Canis lupus familiaris: one gene and its partners. The protein of the gene in region 2 interacts with the protein of the main gene of each other region in a pairwise test. Links are inferred from orthologs where the notes say so. Each region holds a gene or a part of one and is shown on either strand. Other genes may lie near its edges.

Evidence for each region. The genes of interacting proteins can lie anywhere in the genome.
Region 1: the proteins of TSEN54 (region 2) and CLP1 interact in binary tests that used the Homo sapiens proteins (3 or more experiments, as listed by UniProt). The link is inferred for Canis lupus familiaris from reciprocal best matches to the Homo sapiens genes TSEN54 and CLP1.
Region 3: the proteins of TSEN54 (region 2) and TSEN2 interact in a two-hybrid assay, tested with the Homo sapiens proteins (2 studies listed by BioGRID and IntAct). The two-hybrid records come from large-scale screens. The link is inferred for Canis lupus familiaris from reciprocal best matches to the Homo sapiens genes TSEN54 and TSEN2.

What each region holds. Positions count from the first base shown.
Region 1 is NC_049239.1:38,996,441-39,002,895, reverse strand, and holds CLP1 (polyribonucleotide 5'-hydroxyl-kinase Clp1), read left to right. Parts: upstream 1-2,309; 5' UTR 2,310-2,636; exon of another isoform or gene 2,637-2,685; intron 2,686-3,381; 5' UTR 3,382-3,403; coding exon 3,404-4,009; intron 4,010-4,401; coding exon 4,402-5,073; 3' UTR 5,074-5,528; downstream 5,529-6,455. UniProt on the Homo sapiens protein: Polynucleotide kinase that can phosphorylate the 5'-hydroxyl groups of double-stranded RNA (dsRNA), single-stranded RNA (ssRNA), double-stranded DNA (dsDNA) and double-stranded DNA:RNA hybrids. dsRNA is phosphorylated more efficiently than dsDNA, and the RNA component of a DNA:RNA hybrid is phosphorylated more efficiently than the DNA component.
Region 2 is NC_049230.1:5,888,055-5,892,776, forward strand, and holds the end of TSEN54 (tRNA-splicing endonuclease subunit Sen54), read right to left. Parts: coding exon 4,217-4,722; intron 3,573-4,216; coding exon 3,512-3,572; intron 3,155-3,511; coding exon 3,038-3,154; intron 2,523-3,037; coding exon 2,372-2,522; 3' UTR 2,014-2,371; downstream 1-2,013.
Region 3 is NC_049241.1:6,160,503-6,166,929, forward strand, and holds the start of TSEN2 (tRNA-splicing endonuclease subunit Sen2), read right to left. Parts: upstream 4,147-6,427; 5' UTR 4,038-4,146; intron 3,061-4,037; exon of another isoform or gene 2,915-3,060; intron 2,857-2,914; exon of another isoform or gene 2,711-2,856; intron 1-2,710.

The DNA of each region.
Region 1 (6,455 bases), on a different chromosome or scaffold from region 2:
GGATCGAATCCCATGTCAGGCTCCCGGTGCATGGAGCCTGCTTCTCCCTCTGCCTGTGTCTCTGCCTCTCTCTCTCTCTCTGTGTGATGTGACTATCATAAATAAATAAAAATTAAAAAAAATAAAGAAGTGAGTTGGAGGGACGCCTTGACTGGCTCACTAGGTGAAGTATGGGACTCCTGATCTCCGCGCTGTGAGTCAGAGTCCCATATTGAAGGTAGACATTACTTTATTTAAAAATAAGTGAAATGGGAGATAGTCTAAAGGCGGGGAGAGGTTTCTTTTCCCTAAATTCAGCTTGAGATGGCTGCACAAATAAGCCAAATAAAGATGACCTTCAGATAATTGGGAGAAATTGCCTCAAGGGAGAGAGTGTGGAGGCGAAGAAAGAGATCTGGGAAATAGACTGCTGGGAAAGAGGAGAGGCTGAGCTCATTCAGGGAGGGAATTTGCAAACAGAAGCCTGGAACTGAATTTTTGAAGGATGGTGAATGGTTACGGGATACCTGAGAGTTCACAGGAGAACTAACGCATGTGTGGTGAACGAATGAATTAAAGTAAACCATCAAGGACTAAGCCGTAGAAAGTGAGGATGGCACTGCCTGCTGACAGAATGAGTGTGAAGGTAAGAGTGGGTGTGAAAGAGCCAACCCAGAAAATTGTCCCAGGCTTCTTGATCCCGAGTAACCATGAGAGCCGGACTGAAGAAAGTACTCATCTATAAAGAGGGGGTGACAATTATAGTATGTGTTTCATAGGGTTCCTGAGAGGATTACATGAATTTACACCTGCAAAGCTCATTGAACAGTACCTGGCATCTAACACTACCTGTTTGCTATCATGATAACTGGACTCGGACTCCCAAATCCTGAGTTTGAGTCCTAACATGGGCAAATCCCTTCCCCTGTCTCTGTCCTCCTTTGAAATTGGGAGATCATACCACTGACTTTACACGTTGGCTGAGAAAGAAAATACTGGAAAGGGCTTTAAAAAATTCAGACTGGGCAGCCCAGATGGCTCAGCGGTTTAGTGCCGCTTGCAGCCCAGGGCGTGATCCAGGAGACCCGGGATCGAGTCCCACGTCGGGCTCCCTGCATGGAGCCTGCTTCTCTCTCTGCCTGTGTCTCTGCCTTTCTCTCTGTGTCTCTCATGAATAAACAAATAAAATATTAAAAAAAATAAAAAATTGAAACTGCTGTGCATGTGGATGGCATTATAAGAGCTCCCCCTCCTCAACCTATAATAAAAACTCAAAAGCTAACGTCAGATGCTGTGTTACACTGTGTTACACTGTGCTTAGGACTTTACATGAGTCATCCATGCAATCTTTAAAACGACTTTAAGAGGTTGGGTACTGTTATTATCCCTGTTTTACAGACAAGAAACTGGGTCTCAGAGAGTTAGCCTGATTTGCCCAAAGCCACACAGCGAGAAAGTGGCCGAGCAGAGCACAGATTCCAAAGCCCAAGCTCGCGAGGCTGATGGATGCGGCCCCAACTGCTGCCTGCGGGGTAGGTGGGCGGCCTTGTACAACTGTTGGGAATTCAGGGAGGGAAACCGAGCCCCCCAAAGAAATCCCCGATCCGGAGGAGAGACGTTGTTGGGTAATGACTGGAAGGAATTCTTGGACGTTTAAGTGTTTTATTAAAACAAATTGTAGGGACGCCTGGGTGGCTCCGCGGTTGAGCGCCCGCCTTCAGCCCGGGGCGTGATCCTGGGGACCGGGGGTCGAGTCCCGCGTCGGGCTCCCTGCATGGAGCCTGCTTCTCCCTCTGCCTGCGTCTCTGCCTCTCTCTCTCTCTCCCTGTGTCTCTCATGAATAAATAAATAAAATATTAAGAAAAAATAAATTGCAACGCCGTCTCGGTGCCAAGCGCTGTCAGGGAGGGGACGACACCCAGGCCGGCCTCCTCCACCTGCCTTAGCCCAGACGTCCCCGGGTCCCACGAGGGGTTCCGAGGGATTCCGCTAATTCCGCGACCTCCTGGCTTGTGGACCAGGCAAGCCGACGGTCGTGGGACCCAGACGGCGAGCCGGCCCGCCTCCCCCTCCCCCCGCCGTCTCTCCCGGGCTGCAGGTGAGCTGGAACCTCGGGGGCGAGAGTCCCCTCCAGCCGCGCCCCGGCAACCATTGGCTCCTCCGCGGGTCCCCGCCTCGCGCGGGGCGTCACCGCATCCTACCCGCGGCTCGCCGTCTTCGCAAACAAGGACGCCGCCGCCCCGCCCACCTATGGCGTCACGATCAAAACAATCTTGTAACTACAACTCCCAGAAGGCCGCGCGGCTGCGCGAGCTCCGCCGCTGGAGGCAGTTCCGGCAAAACTACCGATCCCGATAGGCATCGCGCGGCCACTGTTCCCACTGTTCCTGCGTCGCGCCTGCGCAGAACCGCCTTTGTTTCCGGCGTGGATCCGGGCGGGCGCGGCGTGCCGTTGGGTTTAGGCGCTGTCGGGGGCTCCTCGGTTTGCCGGTTTGTGTTTGCGGCTGTGCAGGTGAGAGAACGGCCGGCGCTTTGGGACCAGGGCACGTTTCGGCGTCTCGGGGTGCTGGGACAGATGCTGGACTTACACTTGCGGTTCGCAGTCGGAAATCGTTGTTCACCACTCCTCGGTTCCTCGGCGTTTTCTAGTTGACGAAGTAATTCTTCTTCCCCTTCACCGATCCCCACAACACTTGGGGAGATCAGGTGATTTGTCTAACGACAGTAGTAGCAGATGCTGAGCGGGTTCTTAGGCTATTTTCTTTTCTTTTTTTAAGATTTTATTTATTTATTCATGAGAGGCACACAGAGAGAGGCAGAGACGCAGGCGGAGGGAGAAGCAGGCTCCCTGCAGGGAGCAGATGTGGGCCTCGATCCCTGGACTTCGGGATCACGACCTGAGCGGAAGGCAGATGCTCAACCCCTGAGCCAGCCAGCTAGGTGCCTCACCCCAGGCTATTTCCTAAGTCCGAACCCAGGGTTCTCTGCTTTGCATTCAGTTTGCAGACGCCCTTTCTTGTGGACTAAGAGAGCTGGGAGGGTATTTGTCTCCTTTTCAAGTCGAGTATCCCAATAGAGTGACGAAAGGAGCGATGGAAGTGATATAATCAAGTCTTAGGTCAATGTGTAGATATACTTTTCTAATGTATGAAAAGTATACATTTATTCAGTCGGTGTTTTTATGAGGTGCCTATGGGTTGTCGAGCCTTAGATACTGGAAGTAACAGCAGCAAACCAGACTGCCTAACCCTTACATTCCAGTGGGGGTAGACAGGCAAATGTATAGTGAGACGGGGTGATCACAGCTAAGGGGAAGAATGAGGGTAAGGAGAAATATCCAGGGGAGGATTTTGAGTAGTGTCCTAACTCCTGTTTCAGTCTGGTAATTAATTTGTGTTCTAGGCACAGCAACCACACAGAAAAGATGGGAGAGGAAGCCAATGACGACAAGAAGCCAACAACTAAATTTGAACTAGAGCGAGAAACAGAACTTCGCTTTGAGGTGGAGGCATCTCAGTCAGTTCAGTTGGAGCTGCTGGCTGGCATGGCAGAAATATTTGGCACAGAGCTGACCCGAAACAAGAAATTCACCTTTGATGCTGGTGCCAAGGTGGCTGTTTTCACTTGGCATGGTTGTTCTTTACAGCTGAGTGGCCGCACCGAGGTGGCTTATGTCTCCAAGGACACTCCTATGTTGCTTTATCTCAACACTCACACAGCCTTGGAGCAGATGAGGAGGCAGGCGGAGAAGGAAGAAGAGCGAGGTCCCCGGGTGATGGTCGTGGGCCCCACTGATGTGGGCAAGTCCACAGTGTGCCGTCTGCTGCTCAACTATGCAGTGCGTTTGGGCCGCCGTCCCACTTATGTGGAGCTGGATGTGGGCCAGGGGTCTGTTTCCATCCCTGGTACCATGGGGGCCCTCTACATTGAGCGGCCAGCAGATGTCGAAGAGGGATTCTCTATCCAGGCCCCTCTGGTGTATCATTTTGGCTCCACCACTCCTGGCACCAACATCAAGCTTTATAATAAGGTCAGAGCCAGAGTCAAGGTGGGATGGAGGGAAGGGCTGCTGTCAGGGTAGGAAGCTGTGCAAAAGTGTGCTAATTAAAACTGTCTATGGCCATTTCTTTGCTCCCTTTCAGCTGGGATTTCTGTCACATGACTTTGGAAGACAGTTTCAATTATGTCAATCTCAGGTTCTTAAATATTCCTGTGGCCCTGTTCTTAAGTAATGTACTAAATTTCTACTTAGGACACGAAACAGAAGAAGCAACATAAAATCGAAATCTGTGTTATGGGGTTAAAACCTTAGCCATTAAGAATGTCATTGTTTTCTGGTACCTAATAGCCACTTATTCTACATAACTATTGAGTTCTTTCGTTTTGTGTTTCCTTTCCTCACCTTGATGCTCTCTTCTGCAGATTACATCTCGTTTAGCGGATGTGTTCAATCAAAGGTGTGAAGTGAACCGAAGGGCCTCTGTGAGTGGCTGTGTCATTAACACCTGTGGCTGGGTCAAGGGTTCTGGGTATCAGGCCCTGGTGCATGCAGCCTCAGCCTTTGAGGTAGACGTGGTTGTGGTTCTGGATCAAGAACGACTGTACAATGAACTAAAACGGGACCTGCCTCACTTCGTCCGAACTGTGCTGCTCCCTAAATCAGGGGGTGTGGTTGAACGCTCCAAAGACTTCCGGCGGGAGTGTAGGGATGAGCGTATCCGTGAGTATTTCTATGGATTCCGGGGCTGTTTCTATCCCCATGCCTTCAATGTCAAATTTTCAGATGTGAAAATCTACAAAGTTGGGGCACCCACCATCCCAGACTCCTGTTTGCCTTTGGGTATGTCTCAGGAGGACAATCAGCTCAAGCTAGTACCAGTCACACCTGGACGAGATATGGTGCACCACCTTCTGAGTGTTAGCACTGCTGAGGGCACAGAGGAGAACCTTTCTGAGACCAGTGTGGCTGGCTTCATCGTGGTGACCAGTGTGGACCTGGAACATCAGGTGTTTACTGTTCTCTCTCCAGCCCCCCGCCCACTGCCTAAGAACTTCCTTCTCATCATGGATATCCGGTTCATGGATCTTAAGTAGAGACTGGTATGAAGCCTTGCTGCCTGGGGCATCGAGATCTTCTGGCCATCATGAAAGGCAAAAAAGTTGGGCTAAAGTATGAGACTCTGTTGAGGCCAAACAGACGAGTAAATAGTGAACTAGTAGAAAGCATATTTCTACCTCTTAAGATGGGTGGTGGGAGCCTAACTCTTCTGATCTTGAACCAAAAAGAACCAGGAGAACATAATTGGTTTCTTGGATCACCAAAGGTGCCGCTTTGTATTCTCCGAGGCCCTGGAGAATCGTATTTTTTCCACTATGCTACTTGGTGGACTAATTTTTAGGAGGAACTTTTTAAAAAATTATCACTGCTTTATATTCTGTACATAGTACTTGTTATTCCATTTATCCAAGATGAAAGATTGAATCAGAAGGCCTCTTTCTAGTAAAGTTCAAACTTGGGAAATTTTAATAAATATTTTTGCCATACCACAGAAGTTGGTATAATTTTTTTTTAATTTTGTTTTTCTCCCTAAGCATGATGGAAACATTATTGAAGTGAGTTATTGCTAAATGCTTCAAAGAAAGCCAAGGGCCCACCTTTGAGCCAAGCAGGTGAATTTTTATAATGGTTTTCCTTTCCTTGTAGGTAAATAGATGCTAAATCTGTTAATGCCAGGTTTACTTTGAGGAGCTACAGAGGCTGGTGATAAACTTGGATTGAGATTTCTGGTCTAATTATTTTCCATACATAGCTCATTTGCTCTCCGCTGCAGCTGTCTTTCCTATTGTCCTTCTGATTGGAACTGGGCCCCAGGTCAAGGTGTAAATTGAATTTTCGGGTGGTAAGAAGCTGGGAAAGAAAGCCCCATTCTCTTTGATTTCTTGCAAATGATTTGTGTTCCTAGTTTAGACTGGATTATTGAGTATTATCTGATACCCTTTGATTCATTCTTTCCACAAGTGTTTATTGAGCATATGCTATTGGCCAGGAACCATTCTAGATGGGGAACAAGATAGACAAAATCTTACAGAGCTTACATAGAATAAGCAGACAAAAAAGGTAAGTGCTATGTAAAGTTAAAATTGCGTGGTCTGAGACAGAGTGACTGGGAGGGTTAATTAGAACGGGTGGTCAGGAAAGGCCTCCCCTGAGCACATTTCACATTAAGATTTGAATGGCTGTGTGAAATTGGGACAACGTCTTGGTGGGGGAAACAGTTCAAAATCCTAAAAAAGGAAAAATATTGATGTATTTGATGAAGGGAAAGGGTGGTGTGGTGTACTGAGGGGTGAATGGTAAAAATTGAGGCTGGAGGGGGCAATAGGGACCAGATAATGTAGGGCTCTTATAATCTTAGAGCAGTGGCAAAGGATGGGAGAGGGGTGGTGTCTTAATTCCTTAATTCAGGCTGCTGTAA
Region 2 (4,722 bases):
GGTTCTCCTGGTTACAGTCAGGTCCCCCCACAGCTAAAGCTCAGCGCGCCTACAAACTGCCCGGCGAGGGCAAACCAGGAGCAAGCGTTGCACACTTAGTTCAGCAAGACGATATTTTCCCCTTCTCACCAAGTCCCATCGTATCACAGCGCAACCCCACCCCCGGCGTCGTGGAAAACACACCGGATCTCGATGCCTTCCCTTAAAGGTGTCCAAGGCCGCCACAGGCGGAGAAAGGCCCAGAGACCGAAGTCCCTCCCGCGGGCTTCCTGCGTCCGGGGATTAGGAGGCACAAAGGGCCGGCAGGGAGCGGGCCCAGATGGCAGGGGCAGGCTCTAAGCCGGCGAGGTAACGCGCTGCGGCCGCCGCTCGCGGAGAGCCGGCTACCTGAGCCGCGCGTCGCCAGCCACTCGGGCCAGGCGCCCTGCACGTGGGCCCAAGGTCCCGGGATCCCACCCCCGCCCGCGGTGACCTCCTGCACTCAGCCAGGCCGGGCACTTGTTTCCCCGTTTCCCCAAACCAACAGTACTAGGCAAACCTGGAGCTCGAATTCCGTAAACGCGGACGGATCAGGCAGGGAAAAGTTCCCAGCCGCACTTCCTACAGGTGTCTTTCGCCGGGACGAACGGAGCCCCGGGATCCAGGGCGACGCGCGCGCCGACCCGGGCACAGCCCTCCCCGCCCCGCCCGGGGAAAGCAGGGGTCCCGGCCCTCTCCCGCCTTCCCGCCCCGAGCGGAGGGCGCTCCGAGGGGGCGGACCCGGCTCGGTGTTTCCGGGCCCGCGCCTCACCTGGAGCCCCAGGCCGGCCCCCGCCCGAGGCCTCGGCGTTCCACGGCCCCCGCCGCCGGCTCCGCTCACTCCGCAGCCGGGCCACGGGCTGCTGGGCGGCAGACTCCTTCCTGCTCACCTCCGGCGCGGCGAGCAGGGGGCGGAGCCGCCGCTATTTACATAAAGGGCGAGCCGGACGGGCTCGCCGAGCCCCGGGCCCCAGCGGCCCCGCCCCCGGGCCTGGCCCCGCCTCCCGCAGCTCGGAGCCGACGGGGCGGGCGCGCAGCGAGGGCGCCCTCGGGGGGCGGGCGGCGGCCGCTCTCGGGCCAATCCGCGGTCCCGGGGAGCGCGGGGGCGGGGCCGCGCCGCCTGAATATGCACGAGGCGCTTAGGGCCCGCCCCTGTCTCACCTGAGCACACCTGGACTCAGGACGGCGCGCCGCGCCCAATGTCCTGCCGCGTCCGGGAGGAAATAGTCCCTGGGACGCGCGGCAGCCTGGCCCGCCTCCCAGGCCGGACCGCGGAGGGGAGCCGTCCCTCCCCCCGCCGGCCCCGAGCGGCCGAGGGAGGGACGTAGCCGGGCCTGCTCTTCCCGAAGACGCACAACCCAATCAGAGCGGGTGACCGGCGGCCACTGGGCCCGGTTTCGGGACCCCACGGCGAGGTGGCTTGGGGACGGGGGCGTTGCCGCCAGGCGCCTCCCCTCGGGGCGGGCCCCGAGCCCGGACCCCAGTCCGCCGAGTTGCTGCGGAGTCAAGAAGGCGCCCGAGGCCCCAAAGGACAACGGTGACCAGTTTTTAGCACAACTGCGGAGCGAGGTGGAGCGACGAGAGGCGGGAGCGGAGGAGGCGCGGAGGCCAGGGGTGCGAATGGCGCGCTCCGAAGCCGCTAGCGTTCAAGCCACACCGACATGGCGCCTCTCCGCCGCCCTTCTACCCCGAAGCGGGGAAGTTCAGGGAAGGCCCGATGGAGCGCCAGCCTCCTCCCCGTGGACGACCATTGAGAAAGCCAAGCTGATTAGGTCTGTGATTTCCTGTCCCCTGGGCGCAGGGCCTGAGGAAAGTGCGGGGTCGCGTTCTTGCCCTCGCGGGGACCTAGCTCCCGCACCAGAGAAAGCACGGTCTGCGGGTTGGCAAAGGAGGGGTGAGGGCCTGGAGCCTGCTCCACGGACATCGGGACTTGAGGGGTGGTGGCCTGAGGCTCGGGCAGGGCCGGGGAGTTTTGCACCATCTCCAGCCACAGCATTAGAGCGATCTATTTTTTAATGGCTTTGGCTTTATCGCACGAAGCAGGCACCCTCTCGATTAAAGGCACAGAGTCCTCTCTTCTGCCCCACCCCGCTGGGTCTCTGAAATCTAGTCCTGAGTTCCAAAGTATCACTGCAAGACAGCAATCTCAGGCCTGGGACTATGGAAGCCAGGTGGGGGGAGGGGAGGGGCATGGCTTCGTTCTCCTGCAAGCATCAGACACTCAGGGCCAAGGCCCAGACTAGCCCCTGAAGCTACAGGTGAGTCTGGGTATAGGAGGCAGCTGAGATGGTCCCTGAGAATAGACAGTCCAGGTCCCCCCGAGCAGGTCCCATGCCCTGCCAGAGCGGTGTCATTAGTGTTCCAGATCTCTGGGCAGCGTGAAGTCCCTGAAGCTGTAGAAGGAGATGTCTCCATGATCCACCAGGGCAAAGATCAGAGGAACATCCCCACTCTGGTAGGACAGCCGCTTGAGGGTACAGAGGTCTGGAACTGGCTCATCAAATCTGCAGGGATAAAGTTAGACAGAGAGGTAGGCACAGGCCGCCCATAAGCTCTGAGACCCCAGCCCTCTCAGGCTACCAGGGAGGGGGGAATTAGACAAGAGTTGGGAGTGCAAGAACCCAAATGGCCTCTGGACTCTCCTGTCTGCAAACTGCATGGTTCTAGTAAGTTCTCCAAGAGTGACCAGAGCCTTGGTTGAGTACCAGGGCTAGGAAGAGTGAGGTTCTTACCACTCATAGCCTGTGAATCCCTCTGATTCCCAACCCTTCTGCTGGGTGAGCCCTGCAGTAAATTGGCACAGGAGAGAGACTGCGCAAGATGCCAGAAATGAGGGCTTAGGACTTGGTATGCTCTGGTTCCTATAGTACTGACTGGCTGTGTGGCCTGCATCAATGACAGCTCTCTGGACCTCTGGTTCCTCTCAGATTGGCAAACTGGCTAGGGGTGGGGAGGAGAGGTCCACTTGGTTTACAAAAGAACTGGCAGCAGCCTGGGGGTAGGGTCACTGGTCTCGTACCCACTAATGCACATCCGGGCGTAGGGTTTGCCGGGGTTATTCTTTCGGAATGTGGCCACAGCATCGGCCTGATAAATGTCAAAGCTGATCTCCAAGCCCCCAGACTTCTCCAGCAGCCTGTGGACAGAGGAAGAAACTTTAAGAAACAGGGATCTTTCTCCTCCTCTCCCTTTTCTTTCATGCCCCGCTCTTTCCCTCCCACAGTTCCAGGAAGCAGCCTCATCCACAGGGATGGAGGTCCTGCTGTGAGGTGCCACTTGGGCAGGGGGAGGTTTGGCTGCCTACCTCAGAATCCTCAGGCTTAGTCCACCTCTTGCCTCTCATCCCTCCCTCTCCCCTAGACACATGAGACTCAGCCAGGCTGAGGGCCCTGGAATGATCCCCCAGCTCATGCCCAACTTCAGGAGTCAAGTCCCAGCTGCCAACTGCTGGCAGCCAAGGTACTATGGAGACAGGCACTACCTGGAAACTCACCGGGCACCTCCATCAGCAAGGTGTGTGGTCTGCAGCACAGAGATATGCTGAAGGGCTATGGCTGCAAGGACAGTGAAAATAAGGTGTTGGGGAGGGAAGTCAACCATCTGCAGACTCCTCTGATGTTTCTGAACCTGCCATCTAGTTTAGGGTTGCCAGACTTAGCAGATTAAAAAAAAAGTTATAGGTACGTCCCATGCAATATTTGGAGTATACTTATGGTGACATCTCCCGTGTTCTCATAAGGATTATAAAGAATCCTGAATCTGTTAATACCAATCTTGCCCTATTAGTTCCATTCTTAAACACACAGGGCATACAGTAAGCCTTCCTTTGATTTGGCCAGGAGATGACCTCTTGCTCCCCTCTCACAGAGCTGCGAGAACAGGGGACCACAGCTAGTCGGTGGCAGAGCTATCCACATGTATCTTGTTTATTATTTTAAGGATGTAGTTGTAGTTTCGTTCCCCCTCGCCTCTCCCTGGACACTGACTTGCCATTTCCACGCCTTCCCACATGGGTCCTTTTGCTGCTTTCCAGGAGAACAGACTGTCCTTATGGGTTCCACTCCCCTGGATAGCTCTCTCTGCCCCATCTTTCTTAAGCCTCAATTGGTTATGGCCAATCCATGCCCCTTTCAAAGTCTTTTGATTCCTCAGCTGCCAGGAGCCTGTGGGGCTTTGGCTGGGTGAGGGGGGCGGGTACCTGGGGAGTCTGCCTGGCCAGGACTCAGCAAGGGTCTGACAGGTTGTTCCCACAGGTGTGGGGGGCGGCTCTGGCTCTTCTGCAGACACCTCCTCTGCAGCAGCTGCTTGTACTCCTGCCAGTTGGAGCAGCACTGCACCTCGGGATCTGAATTTACATCCTCCCGGAAGCGCTGGGCCTCTGCTTGTTGCTCCCGTTCCCGCCTGGAGAGCTTCTCCTTCCTTTGGTTCAGCTTCTGGCACCAGGATTCAGCATCTGTCTCCCGCCCAGCGACATTGGCTGGGAGCAGCTCTGGGGCTGGGGCAAGCAGAAGGGTGTGGCGGCTATCTGAAGCCATGTTGGGGAAGGAGATCTGTTCAAAGTTCCAGCGTGGCTTACAAAACCCCTTGACCCTGTTCTCTACTTTGCCACTCTCCGGGCTGCACCCCACCCCCTCGTTAGCCAGGCCAGGCCAGGGCTCCAGGGCTCCCAGAAGCTGAGATGGGCCCATTGGGCCCTTTACAGGG
Region 3 (6,427 bases), on a different chromosome or scaffold from region 2:
GCCATATTACACGTTTCATCTACATGGATCCAGAAAATGAAGTAAGACTGCTTATTAAAATGCCTCCTGCACTTAATACCAGCATCTATTGGGCAATGGATGTCACCAAGCCTGAAACAGCCAGTGACAATGGCCAAATCCTGAGGAAGGTAAGTGGTTGTATGGGTTTATGACCATTAAAAAGAAATAAAATATCTTGCCTTGCCCATTGTGTGATACCTTTATCTGCCCTCTCAAAGAAACGGAGGAATTAGATGAGGACAAAGGAAAACACAGACCAAGGAAGAGTTATAGAAATTGATAAATCAAGTACAAAGATAACTATGAAAAAGAAGAATCAGCAAGTTGGAACCTTCATAGACTTGACTAAGTATGCTAAGCAGCAAAACACTAGAATTTAATTTTTAAGTAAGATCCCTCAAGGGAATTACATACTGAGCATGACTCATATATACATTATATATACACACACACACTGCTGTAAAGCATTCCTAACAAAACCACGTATGTTGCACATTAACGAACAATTAAGAGATTTTCTTCCAAGAGCATTTTAGCTAAACTGTCATTTGCCAACTTATCCTTCAATCTAAGCCAATGATTGCATTTAGTATTCAACAGAAGAAACAGCAATTTATTCTAACACTTGATGCCGTGTCAGCTTTTTTGAGGCAGATGATGCAATCTAGTGAAAAACTTTCTAGGCATTTCCAGGAACAAGTTGGACTTTTATGAGATTTTTCACTTTTATAACTTAACTTCTGGTTAGGATTTAACTTGTATATGCTACATTTGGAATTTTAAGAAAAGAGAAAATGTTAAATGGCTAACTTCAAGAACTTCCAATTAAATTATCTCAAACAAGTGACAATGAAGTTATATTTTAATTTGCCTAGTTTGGAATTTTCCCTCAGACTGATGCTATACTCTTAAAAATACCAAGAATGAGCTAGGACACTTGATGTCAAGAACTTTGTACTTCAACCTGTATGTGTGTGACAGAAAGGTTCCTGCCACAAAACATTGTTTTCCATTAAACCTCAAAGTCTGTGATCTGGTGTTACTTTTGCCCATGTGGCAGAACAGGCTTCAAGAATTTGGCTGATAGGTGGGGCAAGATGGCGGAAGAGTAGGGTCCCCAAGTCACCTGTCCCCACCAAATTACCAAGAATTTGGCTGATAGGCCTCCAATATATGCAAACCTGCCATCATTATCATGTGACCTTGCACAACCCACTTAAGCTCTCTGAGCCCTGTTTCTTCATCTTCAAATTGAACAGCACTGGAAAAGTCTGGAAGTCATTCAGATGTTAAATGCAAAATACCCATATAATTCCAGTCCTTGGTACAGATACAAGAAAACTGAAAACATGTTCATGCAAAAATCTGTACCTGAATGTTTACAGTAGTATGATTTATAATAGTTAAAAAAAGCAGTAACAAACCAAATGTCCATCAACAGATGAATGGATTAAAAAAATTGTGATGTATCCATATAGAATGGATTATCAGCAACAAAGGAAGTGTTGATATATGCTACAGTGTGTATGAAGCTTGAAAGCATTAAGTGAAAGCAGTCACAAAAGACCACATATTGTATAAGACCGTTAATATGAAAAGTCCACAACAGCAAATCCATAGAGACACAAAGTAGATTAGTGACTGCCAGCTGCTGAATGAAGGGAGAAATGCGGAGTGACTGCTAATAGGTATGGATTTTTTTTTTTTTTTGAGGGTGATGAAAATGTTTTAAAACCAGAGTGCAGTGATGATGTGATGGCTGACCAACTCTGTGAATATACTAACATTACTGAATTGTACATTTTACAAGGGTGAGCTTTTTTTAGATTGATTTCATTCATTCATTCATTCATTCATTCATTCATTCATTCATTCATGAGAGACACAGAGAGAGAGAAAAGCAGGGACATAAGCAGAGGGAGAAGCAGGCTCCATGCAGGAAGCCTGATGTGGGACTTGATCCCAGGACACTGGGATCATGCCCTGAGCCAAAGGCAGACTCTCAACCACTGAGCCACCCAGGGGTCCCCTACAAGGGTGAGTTTTATGTATGTGTAACGGTCTCTCAATAAAGCTGTTATTTTAAAAATTCAGTAGGACAAACCAAACGATCTTGTTTCATGGTTTTGTGAAGGAGTTGTCTTGTACTAGACTTGAAAGGCAAAGAGGGGAGAAAGGAATGAATTCACTATTCTCCATATCTGCAGTAGGCATTTACGACACGTTTCTTTAGTGCCATGATAGGAGAACAGCATAATGTCAAGGTATGGCATGAGTAAATTGAGAAGAGGTAATCATCATCCATGGGTACAACATGCTAGGCACTGACTGTGCTATATGGTACACAGATGGGTACTGGCATCCTCTTTCACAAACAAGGAAGAGAGGGCCAGTTATTTGCCCAAAGCTCCACTGTACAGAGACACAGCATTGCAAGAAGTCTGGCCTAAAAGACCACCCATGTCTGAAGCACACACACAGATGTGTAGGTATGACTGAGCCAGTTGTCAAGGGGTTTGGAACATGAAAGCTGGTTTAGACTTGGAGTTGATGCAGAGACTCTCAAGCAGGGAACACGACTGAAATAAGATTAATTAACCTGGGGTGGTATACAACAGTGGCTCTCAAGCTTGGCTGCCCTTAGAATCACCTGGGGGAAATCTCAAAACTCCTAACGCTCAGAACTTACCTGCAATTACATCAGAAATTCTGGGGTGGGACCCAGGTGATCTTAACATGTAGTCACACAGCTGCCAACTACTGGTGACAGAATAGCCGATTCAAACTCACTCCCAACAGCTCCCTAGGGGCCGAGTGCTATGCACCTGTAAAGGATGTAGCTTTTCCTTTCCCAAACGCTGGGGGCGGGGGCGGGGGCCGGCGGCATACTTGCCTCCAAATACAAGTAGCATTAGGTCCATTTACTTTACTATGAAAAATAGGGCTTGGGCAGCCGGGTGGCTCAGCGGTTTAGCGCCGCCTTCAGCCCAGGGCGTGATCCTGGAGACCCGGGATCGAGTCCCACGTCGGGCTTCCTGCGTGGAACCTGCTTCTCCCTCTGCCTGTGTCTCTCTCTCTCTCTGTGCCTCTCATGAATAAATACAATCTTAAAAAAGAAAAAAAAAAAGGGCTTATGTTTCCCTTGAACACACAAGCTAACACCGTTCAGGTGCTCAGCAAACGTTTATTCCAAGCAAAACAAAAACGGGAGAGGGAACTCCATTTAATTTTCCGACCCCCTGGAAGGACCTTGCCAAACAAACCTGGTTAACACCTCCTACTCAGTAAAGCTCACCTTCTCCCAATTAAAAAATGTTTGAAGCTCCAACCGTGTACCTCCTGGGCTATGGGAGGCAAGGATGAAAGGGACAAGGCGAACAATCCAGCCCCTGGGGAGTTTTCAAGTTAGGACGTGAGACTAAGCCACATAAACAAAACCTAAACCCCTTGAAGGCTGTTGTGAGGATGAAGGGGGTAACTGCGAAGGCGCCTCGTACCGGGCCTGCCGTGTGCAAGGTGTTGGCCAGACGGGGGCTGCGACCGCCACGCATGACCGCACGCAAGCCAGAGTGTGCAGGGCCCACCCAAGTGCCGACTCCCCGTCTTAATTCACCCCTCTGCAGACTTCCTCGAGGGCCCCCCGCCCCCCAGCAACCGCACCAGCGGCTGAGGCTCCCCTGGGGCAGAGAGGGTGTCCGATACACCTGGACGTCCCCGGCCCCCAGTACTGGACGTGGCCACGTCCAGTTCCTCAGAAAGAATGAAAAGCAGCACAAAGGGCTACAGGTGCTCGCAGAAGAGGGGGTTGATTCGGGCGCGACCAGGAAGCCTGGCTCCCCGCCCGGCCCACTCTGGGGCGGCTGTGCCACGCGGGGGAAGGCTACACGCCTTTCTCGCTTCCGGGGGGGGGGTTCCGAGAAGGCGACGACTCTTCTCGCAGCAGAACCCCCACCTCGAGCCGCCGCCACGGCGCTCAGCGCCTCGGGACGCCGCGGGCAGCCCAGCCCGCGCCTTACCTTTCTCGGCCCCACGCGCTTGTCGTTACTTCGGCAACGCCGGCCGGAGGGCGGAGACCGCTGCCGTCAAGCAGTGCGGCCGCAAAGCCGGGCCGAATGCGCAGCCGCGGAGCCCGCGGGAGCGCCCGCCGGGTGTTTGCGGAGAGCGCCTGCGCAGGCCCTGGAGGCGCGTTTTCTGTTCCTCCATTTCACCCTTCTCCGCGTGTAAGCGAGTTCGCTTTCCTGTCCTCCCCTGGAATAGACAGATGCTGCTTTCGTTTAATCCCCACAGCGGCCTCGCAAGATTCGTTTAACATGTGACATCCTCAGTTATTGTCCGATGTCAGCTAGTTGGGAGGTGGTGGAAATGGGACTAGCCCAGGCACGGAGACCCCCGCGGTGGGGGTGGGGCGGGATGGGACCCGGAGGGCACCGGATCTCACTGAAGAGAGCGGGCGTGTGCGCGGCCCTGACGGCGCCCTCGGCTTTCGCGGTGTGGATGCCTCGGCCGCCCCGCGCCCGGAACCTGCCCGCCAGCGCCCCCTCGCAGACGCCTGAGTAAAAGCCACTGTGCGCCCTGGCTGCCCCGCGGGGGTGAAGGACGACCGCCGGGAGTCAGGCTGCGTTGAAGTCCCCAGCCCCTGTCCCTGCCCTTTTTGAGCTTTGGTTTCCTCTGTGGAGAAGTGGGTCCTTAGAACTACGCCGGATGCGCAAAATAAAAGGGTGTGGGAAAGCGTTACAAGTTAATCCTGACCTGGTTATTCTAAAGGAGGTCTACTAGGGGGTTCGATGTATACTTTTCCCATTATGAGTCCCAGGGTCCCCAGCACACATACCACACGTGCTGGGCAGGTGGGGAAGGTGGGTGACAGGGAAGGGTGGCAAATAGTGCCAGAGAGATTCATGGGGCTTGATGGGATGGCTTTGAAATCTTTGAAATCCGAGCCTTTTTCAAATTTCTCTGGTCTCCAGGACTTCAGGCACACTTGCCTTGGCCCGGGCCATCCTCCTCTCCTTGGTTTGCAGCAGTAATTCCTGCCCCCCCCTCGCCCCTGGGCCTCAGCTCATATAGCTCTTCCTTCAAGAGACTTCCTCTTGCCTCCCTAGGCAGTCTTGGGTGGCTTTCCTCTGTTTCTGCAATAGTTGGGTGTACCCTGTGTTGTCCCCTGTTTCCTGGTCCCTTCTTTTTTTTTTTTTTTAAGATTTTATTTATTTATTCATAAGAGAGAGAGAGAGAGAGGCAGAGACACAGGCAGAGGGAGAAGCAGGCTCCATGCAGGGACTCGATCCCAGGACCCCGGGGTCACAACCAGGTCTCCAGGATCAGGCCCAGGGCCGAAGGCGGTAGTACACCGCTGAGCCACCCCGGCTGCCCTCCTGGTCCCTTCTTAACCTGAGGGCTTCAGTGGATGGTCTACCTGCACAGGCCTTAACTGCTGGGCTTAGAGTTCAGACTTTGATTTAGATAAATCAAAATGAGTATATTTCCCTGGTTAGAGTGTTGCAAAAAAAAAAAAAATTTCAGCAAGGTTCACAGACTAGTGGCATCAGGATGAATGGGGCAGGGAAGAGAGAGCTGGCAGGAGGCTGCAATATTGTAGCAGAACATGCCAATTTAGGAAATACTGGTTTTAGAATGAGAGGGTTTTAACAATGAAGGGGAACCCAGAGGCTGTCCAATTCAATTTCCTTATTTAACTGATAAGAAAAAAGGTTCAGAGGCACTGTGGGTTACCAGAAGTAGCAGAGCAAGTCTGAGGTGAGGCAGAGACTACAGCCAGGGCTCCCAAACCGCTCAGCTTGGTTCTCTACTTTCAAGGGTTTGGGATTCCCCCATAATGAGATCTCAGGTGGTATCTTTGGGAGCCCTATCCCCACAGAGGGTCCAGAGTGAAAACTACCAAGTAAGATATTCTTCCCCCAAGATTTTATCCTCAATCTGTTTTTTAAACCTCCTGTCACCATCATTTTCAAACACAAAAGTAGAATATTCTAATAAATTACCACTTCCACAGTCTTTAACCTTTGCTATCTTATTTCTTTTATACTCTCCATATGTATACCTTTATCCCACTGCTGGAATATTTTAAAGTAATCCTAGGGATCCCTGGGTGGCGCAGCGGTTTAGCGCCTGCCTTTGGCCCGGGGCGCGATCCTGGAGATCCAGGATCCGGTCCCACGTCGGGCTCCGGGTGCATGGAGCCTGCTTCTCCCTCTGCCTATGTCTCTGCCCCTCTCTCTCTCTCTCTCTCTCTCTCTCTCTCTCTGTGACTATCATAAATAAAAATTAAAAAAAAAAATAAAGCAATCCTAAACATCATTTGATTTCACTCATATTTCAGTGTGTATCTCTAATAGATAAATATTTAAATTTTATAGTGAAAATGTTATTTAAATTTTACAGTGCTATA